Linked DNA regions of Tamandua tetradactyla. The protein of the gene in region 2 interacts with the protein of the main gene of each other region in a pairwise test. Links are inferred from orthologs where the notes say so. Each region holds a gene or a part of one and is shown on either strand. Other genes may lie near its edges.

Region 1 (7,890 bases), on a different chromosome or scaffold from region 2:
TAGAATAATGATTAAGAGCTGCAGTACCTAGCAGTAGGACCTAAAATTAAGTAGCTAGAAGATACTCACTACCACCAGTTTATCATCCACTCGTTTTCTCTTTATGGTAGTTGATTTTCCATCCCACTTCTGCACCTGTACCAGGGCACCCCCATCCAAGGTTATGATGCTCTGCAGGTGTAAAGAAAAACAATTACAATTTGCCTATGGAGGTGGAAAATAGAATACAAGATGCAGTACCTTTGTTCAAAAGAATATTTGGAGATCATTAGAAATTCTAAATGATAAGAACATACTGCAAAATAAAAAAAAATGAGTGTAGAAAGCAAACAAATACATTATGACTAGACTCGTAAACAAACATGCACTTAGAAAAAAACTGATGGAATGCAGATAATTGATAGATTTATGTTGAAATAGTATTGTGGATGTTTTTCTTTCTGTTTTTTTTCCCTCCCTTCTACTTTTTTCAAACATTCTCCAATATTGTTATGTTACTTAAATTCACTTTAAATACTCTGCGTAAGGTATATAGTAATAAAATTTTTTTTTTTTTTTTTTGCATGGGCAGCACCAGGAATCGAACCTGGGTCTCCGGCAAGGCAGGCGAGAATTCTGCCACTGAGCCACTGTTATAGTGCCCGGTCATAATTTTTTAATACAAAAACTTCATAAAAAGGGGTGAAAATCACCAACTACATATCAGAGGCAACAGGGTTTAGATCTAGGACCTCAGAGATTTCTGGCCTTTAATGAAATCATTTTCTTCCTTTATTACAAAATGACTTCTTGCAGGCGGTGATCATTCAGAAACCGGGAATTTACTTACTTTGACTTTCCTGTCATCTGCAGTGACTTCATCAAATTCCTCACCCAGTTTGAAAGAAATCTCAGTATTTTTAAAGGTACTTTCTGATTTAATGGTGATCACATCCTCGTTCACGCTGATGAGCACGTTGGGTTTGGCCATTCCAGCCACTTTCCTGGTGGCAAAGCCCACCCCTACAGTTAGGACAAAAAAATATCAGTCACAGTCTCTCTCACATCTTTATCTAAGTCAGAGAGCTGTACTCTGCGTGTGTGTGTGTGTGTGTGTGTGTGTGTGTGTGTGTGTGTTTAAAGAAAGGAAAAGGTGCCAGTGCGTTTCTGGAAAGCCTTATCTGAACAGTTGCTGCAAGGTAAGTAAAAGTCAGTCAAGGTCAAGGTCAATACTTGAGTCACAATATGTGTAGGTCCATTATTTAAACTTCGCCTTTCTCTGGTTCTGGGTATAATACTTTAGGATATCTATTTTTAATTGTTAATAAGAATATGTTCAAAGGTTTAGTCTTCTGAAATTAAAAAATAAAAAAATCACAGTACCCTCAAATAACTGGCTATCTCAATCCATTAGGGAAACCTCTATAATTTTACTCAATTCATGAGATGCTTCAAATTTGTCTTCTTAGATAATGAAAATGACCAAATCCACAGTCAAAGAATTCTCAACAGAACTTTTTGGGGGTTAATAAACAGTTATTCAGTTCTCTTTTGAGTTTACAAGAATCACAATTTCATGGTATTTCCTGCCAGTCTAGTTTTTTTGCTTACTATTCCAACTACTGCTGCTATAAAATGATGGTTTTGATTAATTTCTCTGAAAAGTAAAATGTTTCCCATATTCATACCATTTTAGAATGGTGATACCATTTCCAATAAGCTATAAGAATTACTACAGAGGGATAAGCATCAATTGTAAACACTTCAAAATTTAAGAAACCACTCATTTGATAAGTTTAGAAACCAATAGTTTCATTCTCAGTCATGTAACTTGGAAACTCTTCTTTTGTTTCTTTTTTTTAAATTAAGAGAAATATACTTTTCTTGTGTTCGATATGGGTTGCAGGACTTACAACCTAAATTACAGTGGAAATTCAATATGTTATGCAGAATTCATGTCATAGGAGTGTTGAATTTTTTAACATGTTCATAATATAAGCTGCTTCTTTGACTTAAGTCTACTTAGCAGTGTCAAAGATTAAATGTGGGGATCTTGGATAGAAATAATGGGGCAAAACAAGTGATTCTGAGGCTCTGATTTAGTTCCCCATCTGAAAAGTAGCCACAGGTGGAAGAAAATAAGTTGCATCATGAGGACCTGGCTCTGTTACAAAATGTTAACATCAAATATATGGAACGAGTTAGTTCATTGAATACTGTGCTTGAAGTCTGGCAACATAGAGCATAATTCTGGGATGGTCTACTTTGGAAAAATCATATTCTCCACTTGTTTGTTTCTGTCCTTATTTGATGAAGGTAATACCTCCTGTCTACTCACTCTTAATTAGAGTAGCTTTAGGCTTACCTGTTTTCAGAAAGTATCTTATTGCATTTTGATTATTATTGGTACTTTATAATGTAGAAACGGTGTTATAGGAATTTAAATGTTAATATTAAATGTACAGAATGTTTTCAAAAGTAAATATCTAAATGTCTTCAAATCTTGACATTACCATATCGGCACATATTAGTTTATTGGGTTGAAGCTAGTTGGTAGTCTAGAAAACAGGGTTTCTCTCAAGCTGAAGTCCCTGATTTTCTCCTTGTCTATAAACAAGAAAAATAGAAATTACAGACAAGCAAGAAAACTATACTACATAAGTTAGGAGGGGGGTAATCTTTTGAGGTTTAGAGATTACGTGCTAAATGCCACTTAAAATATCGTGTGAAGACATTTCCCCACCCCCCCACCGCCCACAATTTGCTGCAACCCCAGGGTCAGACTTGATTAAGCACAGAAGTTTAGAGAGGGGAGCTTTCAAAATTGGAGCTGCCTGAGTGAGAAATCTCCTTCCTACTTGCTTGCTTTACCTCCATAATTATTTGGGGAACATTCGCACAACTCACTGGTAACATTAACAGAATCTAAAAAATTGAAAGCCTCCATTATCAAACAGGAGATATGTAACGGATATAAACATTCGCCTTTTGAATTATTTAATCGTTCTATAGCATTCCCTATAATTTCTAATCAAATAACTATTTAAGTACTTTAAAAAACAAATTCTCTGAAATTAAGATTTTGACTCCCATAATACAACCACACATTTTAATGGCTTGACAGTCAAACGACATAAACATACATCTACTTTAAAAAAAAAGCATCTTCATTAAGATGGAAAATACAGTACTTTCAGATTCAAATGGAAATTATTAAAGCTAGGAAATAAATCTGACTTTACGTCTTAGCTAATGCTAATTTCATTTGCAAGAGAAGATGAAAGAAAAACAGGCAATGAGCCAAGTAAACCAAAGACACCCAAGTTTAGCAATTAAAATAAAAGTTTGTCACTTCTGTCAGCCATAAAAATTCCATTTAGATCCTTTTGCATGTTGATTCATATTTAGGAAATATTGCTTATCCCTTTGGTCCAGATATTTCTAGAAACAAATGATTCTTACTTACTACTGAATAACCTGTATATAGGAAGTGGCATTTTCATATCTGGCCAGAATAAAAAACACAGCCATAAACCCTTTCCCTTAGAGAAAAAGTTATAAACCCAGTTATTACATAGCACATTTGCTTACCCACTTCTTTCATGTAATCATCAAAGTTTTCACTGGAGACAAGTTTCCAGGTGCCTACAAATGCATCACACATTTTGTGAGCTTTGTCTGATTATTCTTCAAGGTGAGATACAAACGGCAGCTTTTGGGAAGGTGCTATTATCCTGCTGAGTCCAGATAACTTCCTTTTAAGTGTGCCCAAAACATGTGATCTTAGGAGTGGCCAATTGGGGATGATATTAGAACATTTCCTTCATTACTAGCCTCTGCATTTTTCCCTCTGAGTCATATTTTTAATAGAAATTTTTCAACTTTGGCTCTCCCTGGCAAATGGTCATTGTACTTAGAGTTCAAATTACTTTTAAGCATGAGCAGAAGACTTTAACATTTCTGCTTTGAAAGCTCAATGATCAATGCATTAAATCTCTCCCTACTATTTTCATCCCAACTGGGGGCAGCTAATTAGCTTGGGATGAACTTTGACCCAATTTACTTGTGTTTTTATTAAAAATGCAATTATATGGTATTTCTTTGAATTGAGGAACACGAGAACAATCTTGGAGATTCCTTTTCTTTTAAATTAAAAAATATTTTTTAAACATAACAACATACAAATATGAACATTCTTACCATATAACCATTCCATTCTTGGTATACAATCAATAACTCACAATATCATCACATAGTTGTATATTCATCACCATGATAATTTCTTAGAACATTTGCATCCATTCAGAAAAAGATATAAAAAGGAAAAAGAAAAAAACTCATGTACACCATATCCCTTACCCTTCCCTCTCATTGACAGCTAGTATTTCCATCTACCCAATATATTTTAGCCTTTGTTTCCCCTATTTTTTTCTATACCCCTTACCACTCCCTTTCATTTAAATCCACTAAAATTATTTTAACATTTGTTCCCCCTATTATTTATTTATTTTTAATCCATATGTTTTATTCATTTGTCCATATTATAGATAAAAGGAGCATCAGACACAAGGTTTTCACAATCATACAGTCACATTGTGAAAGCTATATCCTTATACAAACATCTTCAAGAAACATGGCTACTGGAACACAGTTCTACATTTTCAGACAGTTCCCTCCAGCCTCTCTGTTATACCTTAACTAACAAGGTAATATCTATTTAATGCGTAAGAATAACCTCCAGGATAACCTCTTGACTCTGTTTGGAATCTCTCAGCCATTGACACTTTATTTAGTCTCATTTCGCTCTTCCTCCTTTTAGTCGAGAAGATTTTCTCAATCCCTTGATGCTGAGTCTCAGCTCATTCTAGGATTTCTGTTCCACGTTGCCAGGAAGGTTTATAACCTGGGAGTCATGTCCCACATAGAGAGGGAGAGGGGCAGGCTAGTGAGTTTGCTTGTCGTGTTGGCTGAAAGAGAGAGAGGCCACATCTGAGCAACAAAAGAGGTTCTTTGGGTGACTCTTAGGCCTAATTTTAAGTAGGCCTAGTCTATTCTTTGCGGGGATAAGTTTCATGTGAACAAACCCCAAGATTGAGGACTTGGCCTATTGCTTTAGTTGTCCACACTGATTGTGAGAATATCAGGAATTCTCCTCATAGAGAAGTTGAATTTTCCCCCTTTCTCACCATTTCCCCAAGGGGACTTTGCAAATACTTTTTTATTCACTGTTCAAATCACTCTGGGGTTTATCGGGGCATCACTTGACAAACCATCAAAATCTCATGCCCTACTCAAGGTTCCATGTACTTATGGTGTTCAATTAAACAGTCCACATAAGTTATATTAGGAAATGCATTAGTCAAAATATAAATTTTGGGGCTGGTGATGGCAGCAGAGTGGCAGAGCTCTTTCCTACCATGCCGGAGACCTGGGTTTGATTCCCATGCCTGCCAATCAAAATAAATAAATAAATATTGTACTAAATAAACATTTTTTGCTTTAGTCTCACACATAAGCTAAAATTTTAAAATATGAATTACCATCTATTTTCAACAAGCTGCAATATTGACATTCCTTTGTTCTTCCTCATGAAAAGACGTTTTTAAATTTGTACATTTAGTCACTATCATTGTACACTCTAGGCATTCCTAGATTATACCGTTTCAGTCTTTATCATCTACCTTTCCTTCTGATTTCATTTGTGCCCCCAGCCTTCCTCCCTCTATCATTCTCACATTCAGCCTCATTCAGTGTACTAGCATTATTGTATTACAGTTAGGTAGTATTGTGTTGTCCATTTCTAAATTTTTACAATCAGTCCTGTTGCACAATCTATATCCCTTCAGCTCCAATTACAAAATATCCTATTACAAAATATCCACCTATTTCTATCTCCTCATGGTCTCTGTTCTTAACTGAAATTCTCCAAGTTTATTCATTAATGTTAGTCCATATTAGTGAGACCATACAGTATTTGTCCTTTTGTTTCTGGCTATTCTCACTCACCATAATGTCCTCAAGATCCATCCATGTTGTTATATACTTCATAGCTTTATTCTGTCTCAGAGCTGTGTAAAATTCCATCGTATGTATATACCACAGCTTGTTTCGCCACTCATCTGTTGATGGACATTTGGGCAGTTTCTATCTCTTGGCAATTGTAAATAATGCTGCTATAAAGATTGGTGTGCAAATGTTCATTTGTGTCCTTGCCCTCATGTCCTCTGAGTAGATACCTAGCAATGGTATTGCCGGATCATATGGCAATTCTATACTTAGCTTCCTGAGGAAACACCAATCTGCCTTCACAGCGGTTGGATCATTTGACAGTCCCACCAAAAATGGATAAGTGTGCCTCTTTCTCCACATCCTCTCCAGCACTTGTCATTTTCTGTTTTATTGATAATGGTCATTCTGGTGGCCGTGGGTGCGGCCATTCTGGTGGGTGTGAGATGATATCGCATTGTGATTTTGATTTGCATTTCCCTAATAGGCAGCGAAGTTGAGCATCTTTTCATGTGCCTTTTGGCCATTTGTATTTCCTCTTCTGAGAAGTGTCTGTTCATGTCTTTTGCTCATTTTGTAATTGGGTTGTTTGTCTTTTTGTTGTTGAGTTGAACAATCTCTTTATATATTCTGGTTACTAGACTCATATCTGAAATATCATTTCCAAATATTGTCTCCCATTGTATAGGCTGTCTTTTTACCTTCTCAACAAAGTTCTTCAATGCACAAAAGTGTTTAATTTTGAGGAGTTCCCATTTATTATTTATTTCTTCAATGTTTGTGCTTTGGGTGTAAGGTCTAGGAAACCGCCTCCTATTAAAAGATTTATAAGATATTTCCCTACATTTTCTTCTAAAAGTTTTATGGTCTTAGATCTAACATTTAGGTCTTTGATCTAACATTTAGGTCTTTGATCCATTTTGAGTCAATTTTTGTATAGAGTGTGAGATATGGATCCTCTTTCATTATTTTGCATGTGGATATCCAGTTTTCTAAGTACCATTTATTGAAGAGACTGTTCTGTCCCAGGTGAGTTGGCTTGACTGCCTTATCAAAAATCAATTGTCCATAGATGAAAGGGTCTATATCTGAACACTTTATTCTATTCCATTTGTCAGTATATCTATCTTTATGCCAGTACCATGTTGTTTTGACTGCTATACCTTCATAATACGCCTTCAAGTCAGGTAGTGTGAGACCTCTGACTTCATTTTTCTTTCTCAGGATATTTTTAGCTATTTGGGGCACCCTGCCTGTATTATTTAGGGTTCTCTAGAGAAACAGAATCAACAGGGAATATTCATAAATATAAAATTTATATAAGTGCCTCATGTAACCGTGGCAATGTAGAGTCCAAAATCTGTAGGACAGGCTGTGAAGCTGAGGACTCTGATGGAAGGTCTGGATGAACTCCACAGAAGAGGCTCACTAGCCAAAGCAGGAAGAGAGCCTGTGTCTTCTGAATCCTCCTTAAAAGGTTTCCAGTGATTAGATTAAGCATCACTTATTAAAGAAGACACTCCCCTTGGCTGATTACAAATGGAATCAGCTGTGGATGTAGCTTACGGGATCATGATTTAATGCTATGAAATGTCCTCACAGCAAAAGACAGACCAGTACTTGCCCAACCAGACAAACAGGTACCACCACCTGGCCAAGTTGACACATGAATCTGACCATGACACTGCCCTTCCAGATAAATTTGTTTTTTTTTCTTTCTATTTCTGAAAAGTAAGTTTTGGGGATTTTAATTGGTATTGCATTGACTCTATAAATCAATTTAGGTAGAATTGACATCTTAACTATATTTAGTCTTCCCTTCCATTTATTTAGGTCTTCTGTGATTTCTTTTTAGCAATTTCTTGCAGTTTTCTTTGTATAGCTCTTTTGTATCCTCAGTTAAAT
Region 2 (8,343 bases):
TCCACGGGGAGGAGAGTCCACAGGGAGGAGAGCCACGGGGAGGAGAGCCATGGGGAGGAGAGTCCATGGGGAGAAGTGCCTGTAGGACTTGATCTGGGCATGGTGGGGTGGAGGCATGAAGCGGTGGGTTGGGGGGTGAGCGGCAGAGCCCCATGGGGGCTGCACGATGGAGAACCCAGAAGCAGCGATGGCATTTCCAGCGAGGTTGGCTGGCTGCCCTGCCCTGGTAGCGGGGAAGCAGGCATGGTGGTGGGGTTCAGGCGGGCAATGGGCTCGGTTCTCTTTTGGCTATTGTTCTAGTTTGCTAGCTGCCGGAATGCAACACACCAGAGACAGACTGGCTTTTAATAAAAGGGATTTATTTTGTTAGTTCTTCAGAGGAAAGGCAGCTAACTTTCAACTGCTGTTCTTTCTTACGTGGGAAGGCACAGGGCGATCTCTGCTGGCCTTCTCTCCCGGCCTCTGGGTTCCAACAACTTTCCCGGGGTGATTCCTTTCTGCATCTCCAAAGGCCTGAGCTGAGCTCTGAGTGCTGAGATGAGGTATGCTGAGCTGCTTGGGTTGTGCTGCGTTGCGTCTCCCATTTAAGCACCAGCCAATTAAGTCAAACATCATTCATTGCAGCAGGCACGCCTCCTAGCCGACTGCAGATATAATCAGGAACAGGTGAGGTTCACATACAACTGGCTCATGTCCACAGCAACAGAACTAGGTGCCTTCATCTGGCCAAGTTGACACCTGACTCTAACTATCACAGTTATGATGCCCTGGAAGGAGGGGAAGGAACATAGGGGAAAACGTGCAACTCCCAGGTGAGAGAAGGATTCTGAGCTCCTGTTCCTCACCGAATGAAGGGGAGCCCTAGAGTCAGGGGCTCGCCAAGCTCTTCCAGGAACCTGCATCTCCACAGGTGCTAAAGGCCCTTTCCTCTGCAGCTCCTGGAGCCTGATTAATATCTGTGAGCTACACTGGCTGACAGCGGACAAGGTTCAGTCACGGACCAGGAGAATAGGCACGCACATTCGGGGACACAAAGGCCCCCCTTCGCCACCCCTACCCCAGCGACCCCACCTGAAAGACGGTGTCAGCTCCACCTCACAGGTGCTGCAAGGGCCCCCTCTTACCTTCAACATAAGCAAAGCCCCCCGACACCCAGGTTATTGTACTGCCGCCCCCAACACCCAGGTTATTGTACCACCCCCCCCAACACCCAGGTTATTGTACCGCCCCCTCCCCCCGGCGCCCTGCCTCCTCAGCTGTGCAAGCCTGCCTGCCCCCTTCCCCTCCTGCCTGCCCCCTTCCCCTCTTGCCCGTCCTGACACCCCACCCCCACTGCTGTCCTGGGTCCTACCAGCTTCTCCAAGCCCGGGGCGCAGCTCCCATCTGCCACCGGCTGGTAAGTCGGTGCAAATAACTGAACTCGGCAGACAGGGCCACAGCCTGCAAATCCCAAATCCTGCGCGGCACCTGGGGTCAGCAGGGTGGCCTGGCCTGCACCCCTGGGGCCTGGCTAGGGCACTGCCCACACTGCAGATGCAGATGGCAAAGAGCTCAGCGTTTACAGAGCACCTGAGGTGGGTTTTCACAGAGTCAAAAAATAAACACAACTGAGAACACTGTGTCTGCGCTGCCAGCTTCCAAGAGGCCCTGAAGACGCAGGGAGGAGGCAGCGAGGGCGCCAGCTCCGGCCACCGCCCCTCCCTGACGCCTGTCTCCCAGCCTCAGTAACACCCAGCTGGCACTGGGCTCACCTCAGAGGGAACGCCATTCTTTCCAAAGTCTCAGGCATTGCACACATCTGCACACATATGTGAATACACACAAATGTGCACGTACATATATACATATATACATACATATAAACAAACACACTTATTTATATGCACATATTTGGATACACAGAGGCAACATGCCTACATACATATGGACACATTCACACATATACACACATACAAATACACAAAACATGCATGTATGCATATACATAATTATACATACATGTATACATATACATGTAAACACATACATTATAAGTGTACATATGCATAAACACAGATATACACACATTTACACAAACGGACACATATATGCATACACACAAACAGCATATACATTATACACATGTATATATGTATACATACACATATTGTCATGCACACTTACATACACATGCACGCATACACATATGTATCTATACACCTAGACGTACAAACACCCATGTACATACAAACAATACAAAAATGCATAATATACACACAAACATATACATTTAAGCATGCATACATATATTTATACACACACGAACACACAACACATTATACAAACATGCACACATATACATACATACATATACACAGAAACACATGAATATACATAGATACACATGCTATGCACAAATACACACATGCACACCTAAAATCACACATATACACACATGCATATATAAACACACTGTACACACACGTCATATACACTCATATAGAGACAGTTACACAGGTGTGTTTATATACATGTATGCATGCACATGCATATACAATATATGCACATATAGACACACCCCCCCACACACACACAGGTGTGTATACATGAGGCGAGTGAGCTCGTCAGTCCTGGCAAGAGTAGACTACCCCAGGCCTGAGGATACAGCAAGAGGGCACGTTTGCAGGAGAAGGGAGACATCCTGACGCCGAGGGGGGCAGAGTCCCACCGGGAGGAAGACACGCTGCCCCACCCCCGCAGGCCCAGACCCCCCTTCCGAGTGAGGCCCTGGACTGCTCTCTGTAGAGCCCACAAGCCGAGGCATCGCTCAGGCCGAGGCTTCCAGGGACTCACAATGGGGACCTTTGCTGAGCTGGGCCTGAACAGAGGCTCTTAGAGAGCAAGGCGAGGGCGGAGCCCAGGAATGTCCCCCACGGATCCCAGCCCCTGCAGCAGCGGCCTTGCCCACTGCCCCCGGGATGGGGAGTCCGGCCAGGGCAGGGAAACACTTCCAAAAGGAGGCTGTCCCTAGGCCAAATAAACCCTGCATTCGGCCCTAAGCCGCCTCCCTAAATGCCAGGTGCCGGCCAGGACCCAAGAGCGAGGGCTGGATGCTGCCCCTGCCCAGGCGGGTCTGAAGTCAGCCCTCTGGACTCCCCCAGAAAGCACGTCTCCAGGGCCCCATCACGGGAAGGCCGCTCCCTGCTGGGTCCCTTCCTGTGTGGCCTGGTCTCGCTGTAGCTGACAGGGAGACAGCAGCCCCTGGAGGTGAGTGGAGCACCCAGAAAGGGGGCAGTGGTGGCCCTGTGTACGCCTGCCGCCCCCACTCCTCTCGGCCAGGCCCCGCGGAGCTGGGGCACGTCCAGCAAAGTCCCAGGAGCCAGCGTGCGCGCTCGGTCCTGACATGAACACACCAGCCTGCTCCCCAGCCTTCCGTCAGCGGCCTTTGGCCAGGCTCATTCATCAGACTGGGGATTCCAAGCGACACCCAGTAATTCCCGCTTTGGCTCGGATTGTGCCTTTAAGGCCTTCGGTGGAGGCAGCAGCGCCAGGGGCCCTCTGCGAGATTGTGAAACCGCGGGCGGGGTTTCCTCTTTTACCCAGAACTTTCAGATCTTTCTAAAAGCCGGGCGTGGCGCCCTGGGGGAGTGGGGACGGCGCGGGCGGCCGGAGGGGGCTGGGCCTGCACGGGGCGGACCGAGTCGCGCGCGCCGAAGGGCCTTTCCGGTGAGAAGCGCGCGCGGCCGGGTCCGCTCAGGCCCTGGCGAGTTCTTAAGAACTTCGGGGCGCCCCTGTGCCCCGCAACAGCGCGGCGGCGGCCTTCTAAGTTGGCGAAGACCTAGGACAAAGCGCGAGTCCGCCTCGTCTAACGGTCTCCCGCGAACCGCTAGGCGCCCTCCCCCCGGGGACCGCAGGCGCCCTGAGTCACCCACCGCCGTGACTCAGCCACCGCGCCCCGTCCCCCGGCTTTCCTTGGCCGCCGGACCCAGCCCTCGGGTCCCGGACGGGACCCCCGAGACAGGAGGTCGAACGGGGCAGGCCCGCGCGCTCCCAGCCCAGTGGGTCAGGCGCGGGGGCGGGGGAGGGGAGCGAGACCAAGGTCCCGGTCCCGCCGCGCGCCCACCCTGCGCTCCAATCTCGGCGTTCTTTGTGTCACCCTTGCACCTCCCTCAGGCGGGGCCCTCACGCCCCACCCCGGTCACCGAGTTCCTAGCGCCCCCCGCGGCCCCTCCCGACCCTGGGCGCGGCTCCCGGCCCTTCTCCTCCAGCCACGGAGGGTTCCTCCCCCGCTCCTACCCCGCGCCCCCTCCCCATCCCTGGGCGCCGCACCCCAAATCCCTTTCCTCCAGCCCTGGGCGGATCCCCACCCTTCGCTCTCCACCAATCCAAGACTGTGGAGCGCGGTTCGAGGCCTCTCTTCTCTAGCGGAGGCGGGTCCCCGCTCCGCGCCCCCCACCCTCCTGAATGGGCGCGGCGCCGAGCCCCTCTCCTCCAGCTACGAGAAGACCCCTCCCCCGCGCCCCTCACCCCCGACCCTGGGCGCCGCGCCCCCAACCCCTCTCCTCCCGTCCCGGCGGCCCTTTCCCCGCGCCCCCCTGAGCACGGCGCGGGCCCCCTCTCCTCCAGCTCTCGGCGGGTACCTCCCGCTCAGCCCCGCTTGCTACCCGCACGCCCCTCCCCCGGCCCTGGGCGCCTCACGGGGCCCCTCTCCCCCACTCCGGGCGGGTCCCCCTCGCCCAGTGCCCCGCCTTTACCAGCCCCGGGGCTGAGCAGAGCCAGCCCAGGAAGCCCCGACAGTGCCTGCCCCGCCCCAGAAGTAACGGGACTGCCGGGCCGGACGGAAGGGGGGGACCCCGCGGGCGCCCCCCTCCTCTCCTTCGGAAGGTCCCATTGGCTGGCGCTTGCGCCGCGGCCGCCGAGAGGAGGGGGCCCTGCCTCCCTGCGCGGATAAAAGCCGCGCCCGGACTCCGGGCGTCCTCTGCCGTTCCCGCTCCGGTCCTGCGCTCGCGCCCCGCCGTCCGCCACCCGCCGCAGCCATGTCCACCCGCTCCGTGTCCTCCTCGTCCTACCGCAGGATGTTTGGCGGCCCCGGCACCGCGAGCCGCCCCAGCTCGAGCCGCAGCTACGTGACCACGTCCACGCGCACCTACAGCCTGGGCAGCGCCCTGCGCCCCAGCACCAGCCGCAGCCTCTACGGCGCGTCCCCCGGCGCCTACACAACGCGCACCTCCGCCGTGCGCGTGCGGAGCGCCGGGTCGGGCCCGCGGCTCCTGCACGACGCCGTGGACTTCTCGCTGGCCGACGCCATCAACACCGAGTTCAGGAACACGCGCACCAACGAGAAGGTGGAGCTGCAGGAGCTCAACGACCGCTTCGCCAACTACATCGACAAGGTGCGCTTCCTGGAGCAGCAGAACAAGATCCTGCTGGCCGAGCTCGAGCAGCTCAAAGGCCAGGGCAAGTCGCGCCTGGGCGACCTCTACGAGGAGGAGATGCGCGAGCTGCGCCGCCAGCTGGACCAGGTCACCAACGACAAGGCGCGCGTCGAGGTGGAGCGCGACAACCTGGCTGAGGACATCCAGCGACTGCGGGAGAAGTGAGGAGGGAGCCGCGGGGCCGGGGGGGGTGGGCGGGGCCGCCAGAGGGACCTGGTCGCGCGCTGGCCCCGGGGGCGGAGGGGCGGGCCCCGCCCTACCTCGGGACCTGGCGGGGAGCATTTCCCCTCGGCCCACGCAGTGCCCAAATGGCAGGTTTCTAAGCCTGCCGCCCGGGCTGCGCTGAGAGGCCCTGGGAAAGAGCAGAGGGATACGCCCGCGCTTGGGGGAAGGCTCCCGGCCCCGGGCGGACTGCCAGCTGCGCCCCGGCAGACCGAGGGGGCGGCAGCCGCGACGTGGGAGCTGGGTGTGGCCGTGCGGCCCCGCGCGCTCCGCGTCGCCTTGGGGTAACGGGCGCCTCTTTCAGGTTGCAGGACGAGATGATTCAGAGGGAGGAAGCCGAGAGCACCCTGCAGTCGTTCCGACAGGTGTGTGACCTACCCGCGCGCGCGCGTGCGTTGCCCCGGCCCCACCCAAGCGGCCCGCGGGCTGGCCTCGAGGTCGGCGAGCCTCGGTCCCAGGGGTGCGGAGCCTCCGGCCCAGCGCAGAGACCGCGTCTCGGGCCCAAACCCCGCGGCGACTTTCCTGGGGACGGTGGGAAAAAGGCTTTGGCTTTTTTAAACTTTGTTTCAAGGTTTTTTTTCCCAAAAAATAAGCCCGTTTCACTTTTGTAACACATTGGCATTCCGCCTTTGAACAGTTACAGTTTGACTTAGCTTGCGGTTTGCTACGGTGGAGTTGGCTAACTCATACAAGGTCACAAAAAGCAGTGAGGCTCAGAGTAGTTTAAATTGTAAAATGAGTTGCAGGATAAGAAACTTAGGCTAGTTGGAATCAAGCCAGCCAGTTTCTTTTCTTTTCTGCAAGTTCCACTGTGGCATTAAAGTTAGAAGTCCAGCCCTGCCCAGGACTTTGTGATCTAATAAGGGGGAAAGGGGCCATCTGGCCCCTTGCTGGAAGGGAATTAATGGTTTCTATGGGATTCACTATGGAATGCAGATACAGACGTTCTGGCAAATGTGGTGGCGCTGGGCAGACATAATGGCAGTCTTTGTGCTCCCCGCAGGGCTGTGCAGCAGGCGGCATTCTTATTCAGTCTGTCATGATGTAAGCAGAGCTCTCATTGGACACAAGTATTTGCTAACATCTTCACATCCGTTATCTAATATCTGGCCCAGGCTTGGGAAGTACGTGATGGGAACAGCTCTTAAAGCCACAGGGCACCTTGGACTGGCCTCTCAACTGCCCTCGTGGGTAAAGAAGATGCGAGGGCCAAAGAGCTGAACTTTAAGTAGAGGTTTTTGGGTTTTTTTCCTACAAATCTTAGCTCACTCAAAGGATTTTAAACTTACAATAGAAAGCAGGAAGGTTTCGCAGTGTAGATTTCTTCTCTCGCGCACTTACTGTACTGGCTGTAAAAGCACTTAGGTGTACAGTTGAGGATAACATCTTGAAGCTGAAAGACATTTGCCACATTAATTTAAATGCAGCAATGTGTGGTTCGCTTGAGTCACTAAGTATTTAAGATTATGTAATGTAGCGTGCAGGGCACTGAGTTAATAGAAAGCAGCTTTCATGTAAAAGGGCCTCTGTTTAGGGATGAGGCAAAGTTCCTTGCATTCTCTTCAAGGAAGCAGCTAACATGTTGAGCATTTTGAGAGGTTAGTAAAATGATTTTAAATCTTTTTAAGGGCTTAGTAGCAAGCAAAATGAATTTTTTTTCCAAATCTGATGTTTTTATTATTACCCATTCTTCACTTACTTTCCTGTGAGAGGGATGCAGATGAGATGGGGTCAGACTGCACGACAGATGTAAATTGCTCACAAGATAAGAGGTTTAGAAATCCTGGGACACTCACTTCAGAGGAAGTACAGTCTTAATTGAATGGGCTCTGATGTGGAATGTAGCAGCTTACAGAGGGTGGCAACACAGGAGGATAGTGAGGTGAGCAAGAGTCCTTGCAGGGCCTCGTGGTGGCGGGGATTGTAACGGGTCACTATGATAAAGGCAAGTGACAGAACTGACCGAGTCAGGGAGGGGGCCACACCCACCAGCCGGGTCACAAGGCTAGTCTCCCCAGGAAGGCACAGCACACATGGTCACCTTTGTTTCGGTATTTGCTGGAGCCGCATCTTTGCACACCCTAGATGTATCTAGTTGCTGCTTGATTGAAACCTGGCTGGTGATGTGGCTGCCAGGTGGTGATACCTACGGATAATTTCCGGACAATCTGAGAAGAGTAAAAGACAGCTTGGTATGCATCGACACTTTGGGAGCATGAGTTTCTGTTTTACATGCACTCATGTATAAATGAAGTTTTGCAACCCAGTTGGGCCTGTCCTGCCTGTATTCCCTTACGCTACGGGACACACATGCACACACTTTTAAAACACTGTGGCATTAACTTTTTATATTTAAGAAGGAAATTTAAAACATCACTGGTAGTATCTTTATCTCATAATAATTGACCTAGTGCAGTTTGCCATGTTGATATAGGTTAATTTATTTAAAAATTGTCTATTGGCCAAACTTGACACAGCATATGGGACCACAACTCACATTTATTAATGAAGAGAAGAAAGCATACACAGCACTAAGATTTACAAACTCGGTCAGGGGTCATGGAATTTCTCAATCCCCTTCTCGGGCGGCCAGCTGCAGTGCCTGGGGTTAAATGAACGCTTGAGCCATGCCTTAGATTCCAGCACGTCCACGTCTGTTCTTTTCTCTCTTCAAAACAGGACGTTGACAACGCTTCCTTGGCGCGCC

The links.
Region 1: the proteins of VIM (region 2) and fatty acid-binding protein, adipocyte interact in a two-hybrid assay, tested with the Homo sapiens proteins (2 studies listed by BioGRID and IntAct). The link is inferred for Tamandua tetradactyla from reciprocal best matches to the Homo sapiens genes VIM and FABP4.

What each region holds. Positions count from the first base shown.
Region 1 is NC_135332.1:125,326,821-125,334,710, forward strand, and holds the start of fatty acid-binding protein, adipocyte, read right to left. Parts: upstream 3,741-7,890; 5' UTR 3,644-3,740; coding exon 3,571-3,643; intron 1,003-3,570; coding exon 830-1,002; intron 172-829; coding exon 70-171; intron 1-69.
Region 2 is NC_135327.1:231,910,450-231,918,792, forward strand, and holds the start of VIM (vimentin), read left to right. Parts: upstream 1-4,937; 5' UTR 4,938-5,015; coding exon 5,016-5,575; intron 5,576-5,940; coding exon 5,941-6,001; intron 6,002-8,315; coding exon 8,316-8,343. UniProt on the Homo sapiens protein: Vimentins are class-III intermediate filaments found in various non-epithelial cells, especially mesenchymal cells. Vimentin is attached to the nucleus, endoplasmic reticulum, and mitochondria, either laterally or terminally.